Arabidopsis thaliana: one gene and its partner. The protein of the gene in region 1 interacts with the protein of each later gene in a pairwise test. Each region holds a gene or a part of one and is shown in the gene's direction. Other genes may lie near its edges.

Evidence for each region.
Region 2: the proteins of AT2G29210 (region 1) and SR30 interact in a two-hybrid assay, tested with the Arabidopsis thaliana proteins (one large-scale study listed by BioGRID).

What each region holds. Positions count from the first base shown.
Region 1 is NC_003071.7:12,554,518-12,563,724, forward strand, and holds AT2G29210 (splicing factor PWI domain-containing protein), read left to right. Parts: upstream 1-3,461; 5' UTR 3,462-3,638; coding exon 3,639-3,659; intron 3,660-3,778; coding exon 3,779-3,868; intron 3,869-4,030; coding exon 4,031-4,153; intron 4,154-4,307; coding exon 4,308-4,475; intron 4,476-4,563; coding exon 4,564-4,638; intron 4,639-4,774; coding exon 4,775-4,887; intron 4,888-5,206; coding exon 5,207-5,254; intron 5,255-5,332; coding exon 5,333-5,389; intron 5,390-5,525; coding exon 5,526-6,788; intron 6,789-6,879; coding exon 6,880-7,002; intron 7,003-7,095; coding exon 7,096-7,651; 3' UTR 7,652-7,850; downstream 7,851-9,207. Other genes in the region: AT2G29220 (Concanavalin A-like lectin protein kinase family protein), read right to left, coding at 8,264-9,207.
Region 2 is NC_003070.9:2,942,038-2,950,499, reverse strand, and holds SR30 (SERINE-ARGININE PROTEIN 30), read left to right. Parts: upstream 1-4,523; 5' UTR 4,524-4,681; coding exon 4,682-4,768; intron 4,769-4,891; coding exon 4,892-4,957; intron 4,958-5,043; coding exon 5,044-5,118; intron 5,119-5,197; coding exon 5,198-5,300; intron 5,301-5,385; coding exon 5,386-5,432; intron 5,433-5,539; coding exon 5,540-5,597; intron 5,598-5,720; coding exon 5,721-5,770; intron 5,771-5,913; coding exon 5,914-5,970; intron 5,971-6,043; coding exon 6,044-6,156; intron 6,157-6,253; coding exon 6,254-6,331; coding exon of another isoform or gene 6,332-6,344; exon of another isoform or gene 6,345-6,935; coding exon of another isoform or gene 6,936-6,972; exon of another isoform or gene 6,973-7,273; coding exon 7,274-7,331; intron 7,332-7,598; coding exon 7,599-7,613; 3' UTR 7,614-7,962; downstream 7,963-8,462. Other genes in the region: PP2-B15 (phloem protein 2-B15), read left to right, coding at 1-93, 168-669; AT1G09150 (pseudouridine synthase and archaeosine transglycosylase (PUA) domain-containing protein), read right to left, coding at 1,592-1,609, 1,727-1,790, 2,040-2,107, 2,190-2,326, 2,846-2,943, 3,045-3,112, 3,209-3,290, 3,891-3,901; AT1G09130 (ATP-dependent caseinolytic (Clp) protease/crotonase family protein), read left to right, coding at 8,283-8,462. UniProt on the Arabidopsis thaliana protein: Regulatory splicing factor that modulates alternative splicing and gene expression in specific cell types. Autoregulates its own expression. Probably involved in intron recognition and spliceosome assembly.

The sequences.
Region 1 (9,207 bases):
CCGTGGATATCCGATTGGTCTGGAAATTACCTGGTACAAAACAAAGTATTCAAAAACCCAAACATTAATTTAATATCCAAAATATTAATTATATTTAATCGTAATATTATCTAATTATCTAAGATTATAATTATAAATTTAAATATGTCAATTAATTTTGGACCTAAATATCCAAAACAACTAAACTATTCAAAAATGATTTGTTATGTTTGTCAAAATTTTGTAAAATATATTCAAATATAATTAAATTTATTAAAACTTAACAAATTTAAAAGTTTTTTTTGTTTGGAGACCCGCTATGTACATACAAATTTCCAGTTTCTATTTTTTTTTGGATATTTTTAGGGTCTGAAACTTTTTATCCAAACTGACCCAAACCCAACTGGATCCGACCCGAACCAGAACCAAATATTTAGAATTATTCTATTGGATAGTAAATCATATACCCATTAATCCCAAACCCGAACGGGTTCTACCAGAACTCGAATGGGTTACTCGTATGCCCAACCCTATTCTCTGATTTAATTATCTAAAAACTCCCAAAAAAAACATATGTTTTGCTGACTACTTTTTATTCAAAAAAATGTACATCCTCTTCTACCAAAATCATTTCATAAGACATCCCAAAACCCTTGGAATAATGATTTTATGAATGAAGAATCCTAATTTGTATATACCAAGAGGTTTTAAAAAGTTTTAAGTTTTTATTTCTAATGGCATACCTATGTAATTACTTACAAAAAATAAGGTTACATTTAAAATGCTTATTTATAATTTTTGATAAGTGTGTATGTGAGAAGGTACGGACATCGTGATGGTAATCTGCTTATTTATAATTTTAACTTGCAGTATACCACATGTAGGCTTATATTTTATTTAAACTAAAAATTTTTATTGTAAAGATGATTATAAATATATGATATTATTTTATTTGATTTTAAATGTATAGTAAACTGCGAGTTGTATATGTTTTGTTGATATTATTTATATTGTTTAGTGTTTAAAATTATACACTTGTATTTTGATTGTTAATTTTAGAGTTTCACATGTAGTATACCATCTTGTATTAATATCGATTTAAACCCGTCAATTCTAGGATTTTCTATCTTGTATTAAAAATTGAATCACATCATACACATAAAAAAATCTAATATGTTATTAATTATTGTAGTATATAAGATTATAAATTTTTAAAATAATATGTATGAAATTGAATATAAATATTCAAATTATGACCCAGTATTCAGTAGAAAATTTTCTTAAATCTATTTTTGACCCGTTATAATATTTTTTCATGTATTGAACAGTTTATATTAGTTTTTAAAAATTCAAATTATGGCATATGCGAAAAAACTCTAATTATTTTTTTATAACGATGATATTATTTTTTCGCCAAAATAGAATCATATAAAGATGAGAGGTGAACTATAATAATTAATAAAAAATTAATATGATAATTTAGATATCAAATCTAATTTGTTGATTTTAATTGGTTACTTTTTTGGAAATTAATAATGTATTTTGTTTTTTAATTAAATTTAATTAATTAAATTAGTATTTGACTTAATTATTAAAGAGATGAATTAATTTACTCTTTAAATTTTATTTCTAATGGCATACTTATGTAATTACTTACAAAAAATAAGGTTATATTTAAAATGTACTTCCTAAATAATATAGTAGGATTTCTTAATTAGGAAAATGACAAAAAAATATTATATTTACCTCTTAACTTTTGAGATTTTATTTAAATTTATGAAAGTTTTGCTTTTTTTTCAGCGGAGATGTTAGGCGAAACTTACATTATTTTCTTGTCAGCAAAGATTTGGTGAATTCGTTAATTCGATGATGATAACGTTAGTGACGGTTGCAAAAATGTTTCTGTTTTTACGGTTTTTTGATTCATGTAGAGGCAAAGTTTGTTTGTAATTGGAAAGAAAAAATAAATTAAATAACGAATCTTAAAAAGTCTTCCAAGTTGATTTTTTTCTTTACTGACATAAATTTTGCTTTATATATCATACAAATACGTCAAAGTCCATAATTTCGATGATGGTGATGACAAAAGAAAATATGTTATTATCTTTTGCATGACATGCCCTCATATATGAAACTGAAACACAGAGTTATGAGCTCATCTATATATACATTTTTGCTGCTACTTTGTGAAATAAATACTGGAGTTGGGATTTATTTACAACGGCTGCCACTGGCATTTAATAATTGTTTTTGATAATTAGAAAGAAAATCTTCTAATTAAATATTTGACATTTAACAATCTTCCCAAAATCTCTCAACCTTAACTACACGATTAATTACTAAAATAAAACTTCTAAAATATTTAATATCATTTAATTACTACAAAATTATCATTTTTGATATTGCTTTTCTGCATGATTATAATCATCAAACCGTAGAGATATTTGATAGCATTTAATTACTACAAAATTACAAAATATTTAGACAATAATTCATAAACATATCATAAATAAAATCAACATTAATAAAATAAATGAGTTTTTTTTAGAGGACGGGTTGGCGGGACGAGTTTGGCAGGACGTTATTTAATAACAATTGTAAACTATACAATAAAAATATTTTATAGATAGATAAAATTTACAAACTTTTATATATATTAATTAAAAAAATAAATTGTTTCCGCGGTGTACTGCGGGTTAAAATCTAGTCTAATACAATATTAGAGATAACTATAGTCATTGCTCTCATTTTTCCATTTGCATACTTATATGTTCTCAATTCTCATACCTACCTTATATTGTGTGCCCATACACCTTCCATGCGCACTTGTTGTCCACACAAATTACGATCAAACAACTGTTATATAGTTTCCACCCACACTTTCACCTATGGTTTAAGAAACATAAGTTACTCTAATGTAGTAGGACGAGTTGACCAAACCTAACTCCTTCATTTTGTTGCACCAACCCATATTTTTACCGAGTAATGCACACCCCAAAACTTATAATCATAGTCATCTTCCTTTCACGTCCCATAAGGTTCACATTGATTACTCTAATCTATTTCACTTTCAAGATTACCACCACATGTAACTTTTCCATTCCTTTTCCACATTTATCTCTTAAACCTCAAACACTTTCAAGTTTCATCTTCTCTCTCTCTTATTAACTTCATCTACCAACCCTACTTAACCTAAAACCATTTTCAATTGCTTAATCAGTCCACACAATGCACATAAATTTCCGTGACCACACTGTTCGTTTTAGAAGAAAAAAACCACTTCCAAAATTGCATATGTACCAATAAGATAAAATGTTTTACTCATTCAAATAGACCTACGAGATTAATTAAGACTAGGTTTGCTTTGGGCTAAAACTGGCCCATAAGCTATGGCAATTGAAACCAATCAGATTACAAAAAAGGCTTGTCAAGAAGATGAGACCGAACATGTTCCAATAAATGGCAATAACGTAATTCTCAAAACCTCTGAGGGTAACAATGGAAAAACAAAATGAAGTGAGTCCGATATAGCTAGGGCTCGTTAAAAACTCTTCAAAATCTCTGTGGAAGCCCCATTTTCACATCTAAATCTCACAAATCTCTCTCAAGCTTCGATCTTTCTTCTAGAGACGAGCTAGTGCTTCCACAAACCCTAAACTATGTCCGGCGGTTTCTTCCGGGTTAGTTTTCCGATCAATTTTCTCAATTGATCTCTCATCTTTTAGATCCAGATCGATGCAATTCAAAAGTTTTGTTGAAGTTCCCATGGTTTAATAACTTCTTTGTTTTGAGCTTTTAGGGTACTTCCGCCGAGCAGGATACTCGGTTTTCTAACAAGCAAGCTAAATTGATGAAAAGCCAGAAATTTGCTCCGGAGTTAGAGAATCTGGTGAGTTTTCTCTTTGTGTACTCGTCCATTTTAACGATTTGTGAATTCGTAGCTTGAATTTACTTAATTGAGATTCGATTACCAGATAATTCGATACATATGTTACTATGAAATTAAGTTTGGGGAGGGCTTAATGATGTCTTCTACTTGCCTTGGTGTTAGGTGGATATCACTAAAGTGAAGATGGATGTTATGAAACCTTGGATTGCGACTAGAGTCACTGAGCTTCTTGGTATTGAAGATGAAGTGCTGATTAACTTTATCTATGGTCTGCTTGACGGGAAGGTAAGCTCATTACTGAGATTTTATTTTTCTGAGCTTTTTATTCGACTGTTAATAAGTGACAGAGGGGTAGTATGATTTCGTAGCCCATGCCATTGATACAAGTGATTTTTTTTTGTTGGACTAATATGTAATTGAACGTTCACTATGTATGTAGGTAGTGAATGGTAAGGAGATTCAGATAACGCTAACTGGATTCATGGAGAAAAATACTGGCAAATTTATGAAAGAACTTTGGACACTTCTTCTAAGCGCACAGAATAATCCAAGTGGTGTTCCACAGCAGTTTTTAGATGCTAGAGCTGCTGAAACAAAGAAGAAACAGGTATTCTTGGGAACTCATTCTGAAGTTAGTTTGGTGAACGACTTGTCTCTGTCCTACTGTTTCATGATTATTATCCTTTATGTGGCAGGAAGAAGCAAATGAAATAATGAAGAAGAGGGAGGGAGATAAGAAGAACATTGAGCACGATATATTGAGGAAAATAGTAAGACGTTCTTATTCATGCTAGAGTTTCAGCTTTAGAGATGCTCTTCTGGTTTTAACATTCGCCTGTTCTTTCATGTTATTCAGATAGCTTCTGCAATTATTAGGGTTCATGTGCTTTACCTCAACTACTGTAGGACAGCGGTGTAGAACATAAGGAGACAAATGGCATGGATGCAAAACCTTCAAGAGATCGTCCAGAGGATGGGAGAAGGGCTGACGAGAAGAATGGTGTAAAAGAAAGGAGAAGGTAGAGTTCTCTTAATGCCTATGATTTCATAGCTACTCTCTACTCATCGCTGTATTCCCTTGTGTACTTTATTATTGATTGAGTTCATCCTTCTAGTCTACTCATAACTTTGTACGTTGATTTTCTCTATAAGAACTCGTGGGCATGAGTTGTTCAAGTATTTCTATAAATGACTGTTCTGGGTCTTCTAGTCTTTTAGCATTTTTAGGTATGCTACTGGTACTTTGCATGTGCATTTGGTTTGCTGGTGGTCCAGGAATTTGTTTGTGGCCAAGATTATTATGTAAGTGGGTTCTGACATTGCCTCCACTTGATGCAGGGATCTGATACCTCCACGTCGCGGAGATGCATCCCGCTCACCCCTTAGGTGACTCTTCAATAGTTTTGTTTTTTCTAATACAATTTGCTTATATGTGCAAGTATATATTGATTGGTTGCTTTACAGAGGGTCACGTTCTAGGTCAATCAGCAAAACAAATTCAGGCTCGAAAAGTTATTCTGGGTATGTAGCCTTCTGCAATTGTTTTTCTTAATCCAAAGAAATTGTAGCCTGTGATGTGTAGCTAGCTAGTTCTGTATCTATTATTTTCTGTAAATCCTAGTGCAGTTTTTGCTAATGCTGTCTACTTTTATAACAGCGAACGGAAATCCAGGAGCACATCTCAATCATCAGATGCCTCCATCTCACCTAGAAAGCGAAGATTGTCGAATTCAAGACGTAGATCCAGATCACGTTCCGTGCGTAGGTCTCTGTCTCCTCGGCGACGTAGGATACACTCTCCTTTCAGAAGCAGGTCGCGGTCACCTATTAGACGTCACAGGCGACCTACGCATGAGGGACGCCGTCAATCACCAGCCCCTTCAAGACGTCGCCGTTCTCCATCCCCACCTGCTAGACGGCGCAGGTCACCATCCCCACCTGCTAGACGGCGCAGGTCACCATCACCACCTGCTAGACGGCACAGGTCTCCAACACCACCTGCAAGGCAGCGCAGGTCACCATCGCCCCCTGCTAGGCGTCACCGTTCTCCACCGCCAGCTAGGCGGCGTAGGTCTCCTTCACCGCCAGCTAGGCGGCGTAGGTCTCCTTCACCGCCAGCTAGGCGGCGTAGGTCTCCATCTCCACTCTACAGGCGTAACAGGTCTCCATCTCCACTCTATAGGCGTAACAGGTCACGGTCACCGCTGGCTAAGCGGGGAAGGTCTGACTCACCAGGGAGGTCTCCGTCACCAGTGGCTAGGCTCAGGGATCCCACTGGGGCAAGATTGCCTTCACCATCCATTGAGCAAAGATTGCCTTCACCACCCGTTGCACAAAGGTTGCCTTCACCACCCCCTAGGCGTGCAGGATTACCTTCACCACCCCCTGCGCAAAGGTTGCCTTCACCACCCCCTAGGCGTGCAGGATTACCTTCACCAATGAGGATTGGAGGATCTCATGCAGCCAATCACCTGGAATCACCATCACCCAGCTCATTGTCCCCTCCTGGTAGGAAAAAAGTGTTACCATCTCCACCTGTTAGAAGACGCAGGTCACTGACACCTGACGAAGAGCGAGTCTCCCTGTCACAAGGTGGACGCCATACTTCCCCTTCACATATCAAGCAAGATGGATCTATGTCACCTGTTAGGGGTCGAGGTAAATCTTCTCCTTCATCTCGACATCAGAAAGCGCGCTCTCCTGTTCGGCGCAGATCACCAACACCTGTCAACCGGCGAAGTCGAAGATCTTCATCTGCTTCACGATCACCTGATAGACGCAGGAGACGGTCTCCATCTTCGAGCAGATCTCCTTCTAGGTCGCGATCACCTCCTGTTCTTCATAGATCTCCTTCTCCACGTGGAAGAAAACATCAGAGAGAGAGAAGATCTCCTGGGCGTCTATCTGAAGAACAAGATAGGTATGGTCTTCATGACTCCATTTACTATAATCTTCTTCTTATCTGTACTTGTTAACTCCTTGACCCTCTGTCTGCTTTCGCATTGTGACAGGGTTCAAAATTCCAAGCTGTTAAAGAGAACTTCAGTGCCTGATACTGACAAGAGGAAACAATTACCAGAGAAGTTGCTAGAAGTTGGGCGTGTAGAACATTATAAGGAGCAGGAGAGAAAGAGGTGCATTTTGTTTCTTTTCATTTTCCAAATGATTTTCGTTTGACTTCAAATATCAAGGTCTGATAAATGTTGGTCTATTCAACTTCTTAACAGTGATAAGTTGTCAGAGAAGCGATCTGTTCACAGACACCATGGTTCACAGATGTCCCCAGTAGAAAATTCAGAAGGAAGGAGTCGGCCTGTTTCTAGTAAAGTGAAAGACAGTGAGCAGGTTGAGAAAGAGGATAACAGCGACCTGGATGCAAACCTTTCCTGTGATTCTAAGGATACCATCAGACATCAAATTAAGGATAAAAATAGAAGAAAGAATAAAAGGTCTTCAAGGGAAGAAGTATCTTCAGATGATAATGGCAGTTCTGATTCCGACGTAGATGATAGGAAGGAGGCTAAAAGGAGGAGGAAGGAGGAGAAGAAAACGAGAAAGGAGGAGAAGAAACGTAGGCGAGAGGAGAGACATCGTAAAAGGGAAGAACGTCGTGGTGGAAAGGAGAAGCATAAGAAACAAGAGCTTTCTGATACTTCAGAAGGTGAAGTTGAGGCCCGTCCTAAGATTAAAAAAGGGGAGGAATCTGATCCAAAGAGGCTTGAAATTGAGTTGCGAAACAAAGCACTCGAGTCATTGAAAGCAAAGAAGGGCATTAGCCACTAAGTCCCTTGTCCAGCGTTATTTGAACATCATCTTTTATGATACTATCCCTTGCTAGATTTATGAACATCATCTTATGTTGTGTTTTTTCTTACATGTTCCAAACTTTCTTATGTGGTCTGTTTGTTGGTGGCAGCAAAATTGGACAAGTGACAATTATGATAGCAAAATTGGACAAGTGACAATTATGATAGCAAAATTGTTTCTTGCATTGGGTGGTCCCTTTATGTTAACATAAGCTTTAAAAAACCATTTAGGTTAATATAAGCTAACAAAAAAAACCCAAGAGATGTTTTCATGGAAAATATTCCTGTATATGATGAAGTCATGATATAAGTTTCGTAGCTATGTATCCTAAACTGACATAACAAAATATCATTTAGATTTTAAATAGATCAAAGATATATTTTGTAATGATCATTTTCCCAGAAGAGTAGGATCAGATTGTCCTAACAACAAGAAAATATTTCTCAAAACCAGAAATTCTTATTTTCAAATTTACAAATGGAGTAAAATACAATTATAGGCTTTATTCACATCATCATGCTTAATGCATCTTCGTCCAATCTTGAAATCACACAATTCAAAATACAGACACGTTTGTGAGATCACTTTTTAGACTCCATAGAAGAGGTAGTCATCATGAGGGAGAGCTTCAGTTCCTTCGAGATACCGAAACACATTTTTCATCATTGGCCTTGATTCTGGAGATCGGTTGGCGCAGAGAAGTCCTGTTTTCAGAACCAATAATACTTCTCGAGCTACCAAATTCTCTCTATTGATTCTTGTGTCGCAGCTCATTAACAGATCACCTTTCTTGAACCCTTGAAGCACCCAGTTCACCAAACTTATCTCTTCTGGTGCTTTAGTCGGCTCTATGGCCTTCCTTCCACAAACGATCTCCATCATCAACACTCCAAACGCAAACACATCTGTGTCACGTGTTACCTTTCCCGTGTTGACTAGTTCTGGTGCAACGTGCCCTGTGGTGCTGTGTCTGCTTCCTTGTCCATAGTCGCCTAGTCGAGCGTTTAGCTCTTCGTCTAAGAGTACGTTGCTTGCTTTTACGTTTCCATGAATCAAAGGTTTTTGACCTTCACCGTGAAGGTGTTGAAGTGCTGCTGCAATCCCCTTTATTATACAGAACCGATCTGACCAGGTGAGAACTGGTCGGTCGTTGTTGAACAAGAACCGGTCTAGGCTTCCATTGGGGACATACTCGTAAACAAGATAGATATCTTTTCCTTTGCTGCAGTAACCATGTAGATTGACTAGGTTTCGTTGTTTAATCTTGGAGATCGCATCGATCTCGGCTATTAGGGTTGTCTTTTGTTGCCTTGTGGTGCAAGTAATCTTCTTTACGGCAATTATCTCTGTGGGAGCAAGCTGTCCTTTGTAGAAACTTCCAGAGTTTCTCTCTCCCAAGAGTTTAGAATTGTCGAAACCTCCCGTTGCGTTCGATATCGTCTGGTAGGAGAATTTCCTTGCACCTCCGATGAAGAATATTTTGTCTCTACGTAAGAACCAAAATCCTGAGAAGATTAGGATCATGAGTGCAA
Region 2 (8,462 bases), on another chromosome or scaffold:
GAAAATATCGTATATTTTGTCGTCAAGAGATCTTTCCATAACTTGGAGCGATCAAAGACATTACTGGTCTTGGAGCCCACGATCAGATTCAAGGTCGTTATTAATTTAATCATATCATTGGTGTAACAGTGTAAGCAATAATTTTTGTTTCAATATTTTGATTATAGGTTTTCCGAAGGAGTCCAACTTATAATGACAGATTGGTTAGAAATCATCGGAAAAATCCAAACCGGAGCTTTATCGCCGAACACAAACTACGGAGCTTATCTGATTATGAAAGTAACGTCACGTGCCTATGGACTAGACCTAGTTCCGGCAGAGACATCGATAAAAGTGGGAAATGGTGAAAAGAAAATAAAGTCAACTTATCTAAGTTGCTTGGATAACAAGAAACAACAAATGGAACGTGTGTTTTACGGACAAAGAGAACAGAGGATGGCGACGCATGAGGTTGTCCGAAGTCATCGGAGGGAGCCAGAGGTGAGAGACGATGGGTGGATGGAGATAGAGCTGGGAGAGTTCGAGACAGGATCAGGAGAAGGTGATGACGACAAGGAGGTTGTTATGAGTCTGACTGAAGTTAAAGGTTATCAATTGAAGGGTGGAATTGCCATTGATGGGATTGAAGTAAGGCCTAAACCCCTAAAAGTGAGGGCCGGGACCAACTAAAAGATGAGTGCCAAATTTTGTGTTTACCGGATAATGTGTTTGGTTTGGGTAAAAAAATGTAAGATGAGAAAACTGTTTTGGTGGGTTGGTAATAACTCTAATCGAGTTATACATTATTAATTTATAATACATTAGAGTAGATAGTAGTTTCTTTTGTTTGACATTTATTTGATAACATTCTGAAAATTGATTAATATCCGTTAGGTATCATTTTGTTCAAACATCTCTGTCAATTCAATTGTATTAAAAATGAAAGCGTTTAAGTAATATTATCCATAATAGAAGTACCTAAAATCACCATAAGCTATACAAATACGAATAATTCTGTTTTAACGACATTTTGCAAAAATAGTATACAAAGGGAGATATCCACGCTTTACCAAAGTAAAAGTTAATATTGAATAGGACAACAGCGAAATAGACGTGTCTTAATGTCGTCATTTCATTTGGCACATGAGGACATTCTTAGCTCATATCGAATTTCTAGTGTTACCTAATCTCATGTTAGGTGGCTTATACAAATTTTTGGTTGATACAACGTCGTCATATCGTGCAAGCACGTGTATGTAGTACTATTATAGCTTTAATACCTAATTAGTAGATAAACAGTGGGCACATTCTGCCTAATCGTTTATACTTTATAGGCTTATAGCAATTTGTTAAGTTCAATTAGGATGACTTTAAATATATTCTGACCGAAATAAATTTGAACAGCTTTTTAATCTTACTTGTTTGATTATACGGAATTAGAAACTGTAACCTTAGCTAAGGTTGACGTTCCCTCATAAAATAAGTATCAAATGTTTGAAAACAAATCAAACCAAAGCTAAGGTTGATCCGGACAAAAGCTCCATAAGTTTAGAGAGAACATAAAAGGAGACCAATATATCTCTCCGACACTGATTCACATTTGACATTGTCCTCAGTCTAGTCGTTCCATCTGCAATACAAATTTCAGAAACTTTTGATTTGTGTTCTTCCAAAATCGATTTTTATATCAACAATGAGACTGCTTGGCAATACTACGAATAGAGAAACCAGAGACAAGTATTGGTACCTTCCAGAGACCGTCGTTGAGGTAATGCATGTTGTCAACTCCTATTCCTTTGTTAATGCTCTTTCTGTGAACATACACAAGAAAAGTTTAGCGATGCGAAAGAAATTTTATGAGCAAACAGGGGAAACACGGCCAAAATTGATCCTGGTGCAGGTATGTGTATCTAAGGGAAGAAGGAATATCAATAAAGTGACAAAGATAGGGTTACTTGGAGAGGCCTGGAGCCAAGAGACTGTATTTTGGCTAAGATACGAAAGTATATCAAAGCACATGTTTGTATTTTCAAATAAATTCCAGCGAAAAATTGACTTACATGTCCTTTGCTGACATTTTGGTGAAGCCTATTGCTAAGGCATGTTGCTTTCCTTCTGCATATATGGCCTAAACAAATACAGATTCATGGTTTAAGATCAGCATATACAAACAAAAATGCAACCCAGGGAAATACTGTTTTTATTCATACCACTGGCCTTTCAGCCTCGACTTCTTGATCCAGAACGCCTCCCGGGGATGTAAGACCAGGACACATTATGTTTGCACCAGACAGAACAAACTTTATGGCACCTCTATCAACTTGAAACCTCTTCATTATATTTGGGTCTGCAAAACTCCAAACATTCAGCTGCCAAATTTTTGACATTCGTGGCTAATTGAAAAAACTCCAAGTTTCTTTCTATGTATCATTCAAGTATGTAAAAGTTAGCTGAACGTGGTGTTTTCAAGAATATTTTATACTCTTCTGGTAACAGCCAATGCCAAAACCTTCTCACTATGATAAGGGTCAGCTAACCCGGAAAACATAAAACAAAATATACTAAACAAAAATCCTGGCTAACCAATCATACGTGGACCTTTTATATAGTTCACTCGCATGAAAAAAGCCAAAGGAACAACAACTTACAGGAACCAAACCCCAGGAAGTTCTAAATAACTCAGAGAAAAGTGTCGGACATACTATTCAGGTATATGCAGTATTTGAACCAGGTAAGTTCTACTGCAGACCACAGTAAGACTAACAGGTGTGAAGAAGAGTGATTGTATGAATAAAACACCCAGATATGTTATGTTTTGATAACAAGACCATATAGCATGGATGGTGTGAAGGAAAAGTGATATTACATTGATGAAGAAGCCGCAGTGTTGGCATGTATGGCCCGTCACGGATACAGAAGAAGAGGGGGACATTGTTGACAACAACTAGGGTCAGATGGTTTGGGCTGCACGAGAAATATAGTCAGGAATACTGTAAGACATAGATAGTGGGTAAAAGAAAATTCAGAAAACAAAACAATGAATATGAGTTTGTTAATTTACAGACCACTTCACTACGATAAGAGGAATCTTTTTGGGAAGTAGATCCTCCATCACTGATTCAAGTCCCGGGTACTGCAACATTAACATAAACATATTTATATCTGACAAACTTCACGAAATCATAAAAGTTTAAGAAGGGGAAAAAGACAAATGAAACAACAGACATACCTCATCTTGGATACTCTGGCGGATCCTACGTTGAACAGATGCCTTCACTTGGTTTTGTGATGAAATCTCCTCCAAACAAAACCTAAATAAAAAGTAGTGAACATAAATAACACCTTCATAGACATAATGGTATATCAAATAGATCTAAAGTTGATAGCAGTAGGGAAAAATAAACTTTATACAAGATTCACTATGAATGTATAAGCATGTTTCAGGAGATGGATAAACACAAACTCCATGATAGTAGAGAGTTTAGACTGGTCAAATCAAGACACAAACTTTCCTCTATGACCCACGACTCTTTGTACAGATTTGATAAATCAAATAGTGACACTATCAATATAGAAACCAAAACTTTACAATAGCAAGATGTTAGCTTTTGAGAACTCAAAACCTTCTACTTTGAAGAAAATATAACAACCAATATGCCCATACCAAGGCTACTCTAAGCAATCAAATTAACAATGTGGTCGACAACAAGTAGAAGGGAGTGAGTTCTCGATAGTTATTAGAGTAAGTGGATACTAAATAAAGAGACCATCACATTCTTTATCAACTAGTATAAACAATGCCGAGATGTTGAAACCACTAATTCTTAGATTCTACAATCCGGGTATGAAAAACAGTTTCTATCTAAATAAAAAAGTAGAGAAAGAATCTAGAAAGAGACAAAGATGCTTACTTCTTAAACATGTTCGAGGTTTATTGAAAATGATCACCAGCTTCTAACTATGGTATCTTCTTCCCTGCAAGCGAACAGTGGAAGATGATTGATAACGGAAATATCGGAACATCACTCAACAAACCAAAAATTTGGACATCATATCGCAACAAATTCAATAGGAAAAATACTGAAATTCCAAAACAGAAAAACCAAACGGAACAGAGCAGGAACTCACGGACTGAGAGAGACCGTGGACGGTGTCACGGCGGAAAATGGTCTTGGACGGAGTTACTAATCGGCGAATTGAGATTTGAGAGGTGGTAGTAGAGGAACCGAGAGAATGTTTCTCTCAAAAAAATCCCCAAGTGTTTCCGATCTAGTGTCTCTTTTGTCCAAAAACGACAGTGTTTAGGAAACCTAGGAGAATGAATGACCCGATGGTCCGAATCCGATTCGAAATTGGTTCGAATTGTAATAACTAACATACAATATTCCGGTTTGAATGATAAGAAAAAACACATTCGATCCGGTTAGAACAATATATTAACAGGCCCATTAAAACATATGGGCCGATCTTGATCAACTGGGCTATTCATCGTTGATACATGCGGCCGCACAGGATTAAAATCCAGTTCCGTTTTATAAAAGGATACTAGTTTCCAAACGAACGGTGGTTGTCTCCTTTCCAGAACAATCTAACGCTTTCTCGAACATCTTCTTCTTCTTCTTTCTCGAAATTATTTTTCCAGTAATCAATTTCTTCTCTTCTAGATTTTTACAGGAACTAATTTTCTGCTCTGAGGTATCAGATGAGTAGCCGATGGAATCGTACGATCTACGTTGGGAATTTGCCTGGAGATATTCGCAAGTGTGAGGTTGAAGATCTCTTCTACAAGGTTTGAAAATTCCTCTTTTCTCTCGATAAAAATTGAATTCATTATGACTTGTTTGGGTTCATAAATTTGCAATTCTGTCTTGCTGAGACAATTTAAATCGACTCTTATGTATATTTGTTTCAGTATGGACCAATTGTGGACATTGATTTGAAGATTCCACCGAGACCTCCTGGTTATGCCTTTGTCGAGGTATATTGATCAAGTACAAATTTGTTTTTTTCTTCTTCTTGTAATAGTATAGGCTAATGACTAAGATAGTTTGTTATTGGTGGCAGTTTGAAGATCCTCGTGATGCAGACGATGCAATTTATGGACGTGATGGTTATGATTTTGATGGGTGTCGACTTCGGGTTAGTAAACGCATGATGAAAGCTAGCTTAATTTTCTGTAATTTCTTGTAAAGGTGTTATCTTTGTGTGATGTTTTTAGGTTGAGATTGCACATGGTGGTCGTAGATTTTCACCATCAGTTGATAGGTACAGCAGCAGCTACAGTGCGAGCCGTGCACCTTCAAGACGCTCTGACTACCGCGGTTTGTAGAGTCTTCTCGATTGTGTTATTTGGTGTTGTGTAAAATTTTATATTTGAAAACTCATTTTTACTACCTAAACATGTAGTGCTTGTGACCGGATTACCGCCTTCTGCTTCGTGGCAGGACCTTAAGGTAAGGGACACTATATAGTCTTTTTCTCTGAATGTTGGTTCTCTATATCATGTTTTGGATTTATCTCTTTTCTGAAATGATGTTATTTGCTATTTACGGGTGATTAGGATCACATGCGCAAAGCTGGAGATGTCTGCTTCTCTGAAGTTTTCCCTGACCGTAAAGGTGAGTTGACATTCGATAGTTTGGATAAGCTTTTGATTGATGTGTTAGTAAATTAGTCTTTGTGAAGGAGAATAGGTGTTAAGCATCTGAACTGCTAAACTCACATTCAGTATTTCTTTGTAGGCATGTCTGGGGTTGTGGATTATAGCAACTATGATGATATGAAGTACGCAGTAAGTTTTATATCTTTGCAACGCAAATGTTCCTGGACTTATGCCTTAGACTGCTTTTGTTTCATAGTATACCGAGCTGAATTTATCTTCCTGGAGGCCAGTGTTGGATCTTTGATGTTCCCTTAAAATTTTTGATGTGACAGATAAGGAAACTTGATGCCACTGAATTTCGAAATGCTTTCTCTAGTGCTTATATACGGGTATGTTGTATTGCTTTCTTTGATTTTGTTAAGCATAAGTGGATATGGAGTCATCTCTGAATTTACTGTTCAGGTGAGGGAATATGAGTCGAGGAGTGTGAGTCGAAGCCCAGATGATTCTAAAAGCTATAGAAGCAGGAGTCGGAGCCGTGGTCCAAGCTGTAGCTATAGTAGCAAGAGCAGGAGGTCTTTTTTTTTTTTTTTTTTTCATAAACCTAAGACATATAAGGGATTTTTATTGTAACTTATTTATGAAATTAACTGACTTCTAAATGCAATGCAGTGTGTCACCTGCTAGATCCATTTCCCCGCGTTCACGGCCCCTTAGTCGTTCTCGCTCGCTATACAGCTCTGTCTCAAGGTATGAGTGTTAGATTTGTATCATTATTATATATGTAGTTACCCCTTCATGGATCACTTGTTCTTGCATAGTGAACTCCTTACTAGCTTTATTACTTACAACTAAGCACCTTTTGTTGCTTCCGTACACAGTTGAATTTGTTTGAGTCTTTTTTCCCTCATAGTGGACTAGTCTATTGTCACTTGATTTTCTTCCTTTGTTGATGTTTTCTATGTCATGCAAACTCCAATATGGGTAAAGGTTACCTCCTTGTTTGGGATTACCAGAGTTCCTTTTCATTTCTTACACGTGAATGTGTTTGTTTTTTATGTTTTGAGTTCTTGACAGAGATGCTCCCATCATATTTAGTCCTTTTCCTTTCTCTTTGTGTCGTTCTCTTCTGGATGTTTCCTTCTGATAAAGCTTTACTTCTTAACTTTTTTCCAGCGACGGTGAATTTATTACGTATCAATCTTCATTATCCGACTTATAATTTAAAGAACACTTAGCTAGATGTTTCACTTTTTGAAAATTTATTTCTATCGGAAGGGGGAAGATGGATTTCTGAGGCATGTCCTCGATCATTTACCGTGATTACAATTGTATTGCGTTGTTTGTTTTCTAGATCTGGCTCACTGCTACGAGCTGGGGATTGGATCTAGATGGGTCATCTAGATGGATTCTTGGACTGGATTTACAAAGCTGGATTAGCATGAACTTGAACTTCTGTTTTTACGGTCTGGTCTGGTCTGGTACTCCGCGCGTATCAGCTGTAGGATCTGATCGCAAAGTTTTGGACTATGATTACTCTGATTCCTCAATATATTTATCTTTTTGACAATAGTGGATTCTGTGTTGAGTTCTTTTCTAGGACAGCATTTAAGCTCCCGGGACTAGATGGGAGATGGTCAGTAAATTTCTTTGTTATGCCACACTTACATGGGGTTTTTGGTCTTGCTGCAGGTCCCAATCAAGATCAAAATCAAGATCAAGATCAAGATCGAATTCTCCAGTTTCACCTGTAAGTCTAAAAGCTGAACCTTCTTTAATTCACAATCCATGGTGTTTGTTTAAATACCTGCTCACTTTGGTTGTTCTTCAATCAACACCAACTTAACGAAATCATGAGACAGACTATAAAATTTGAAGAGTCTTAGAACGACTAGGTCTCACCAACCTCTGTGTGCACTAAAAATCGCCTCTCCAAGTGTTTCAGCAACATAATCTACCTCTGTCATGTGTTATCATTTCTTCTTCTCTTAACGGTATTACATATTATGTTTTGCAGGTGATATCTGGTTGAAAATGAAAACTGGCCACTGGCTGTACCCGAATCGTCTCAAGCTTCTCAGGCTCCACTGCTAATAGAATTTGATTCCGATTTGGGATTATTATACTGGTCTTCTTGTATGGGACGACCAATATGTCTTTCTAGTTTTAGTTGTGAACCTGGAATTGGTCTGTTATTGTGTCATTAAAAAGCCGGAAACTCTGTCTCGGCTGCATAATAAAGTTCATCAGACATTGTGTTGGGTGTGGTGAGGTTTTTCCATACATATACATTTACATTACAACTACTGGTGTCTTTTATGATTATCTTAAACTAAACTTGCAGTGTTAAAACTAAACTTGCTTTTGTTTTTGGATAAGATCACTCTAAAACGGTACAACCCCTGCCTGTATCCTACCAACAGTAACAACACACTACAGCTCATAGGCCATAGCACCAGAGTTTTGTGTAAACGAAATGGCCCAGAATAATTGCAATTTGGTCCGAAAGTAAAGTCTATTGCGACTGGGCCTGTTCCCTAAAATGTGATTTGGGCTATAGCCGGAATATCAAATAGCGGGTCAACCCGAAACCCGACCCAGTAATTATTCTCTCCCCTCCGAAAGCATCGATAAATCCTCTGGTTTCCTTTGTCCAACGAGTCCATTTTCGCGAGCTTCCGTGTCCAAGAGCTCCTCGACCATGGCGTCTTGTTTACAAGCATCCATGAATTCTCTGCTTCCACGCTCTTCTTCTTTTTCTCCTCATCCTCCTCTATCTTCGAATTCATCCGGGAGAAGAAACTTGAAGACTTTTCGTTACGCCTTTCGCGCCAAAGCCTCTGCCAAAATCCCTATGCCTCCGATAAATCCAAAGGATCCT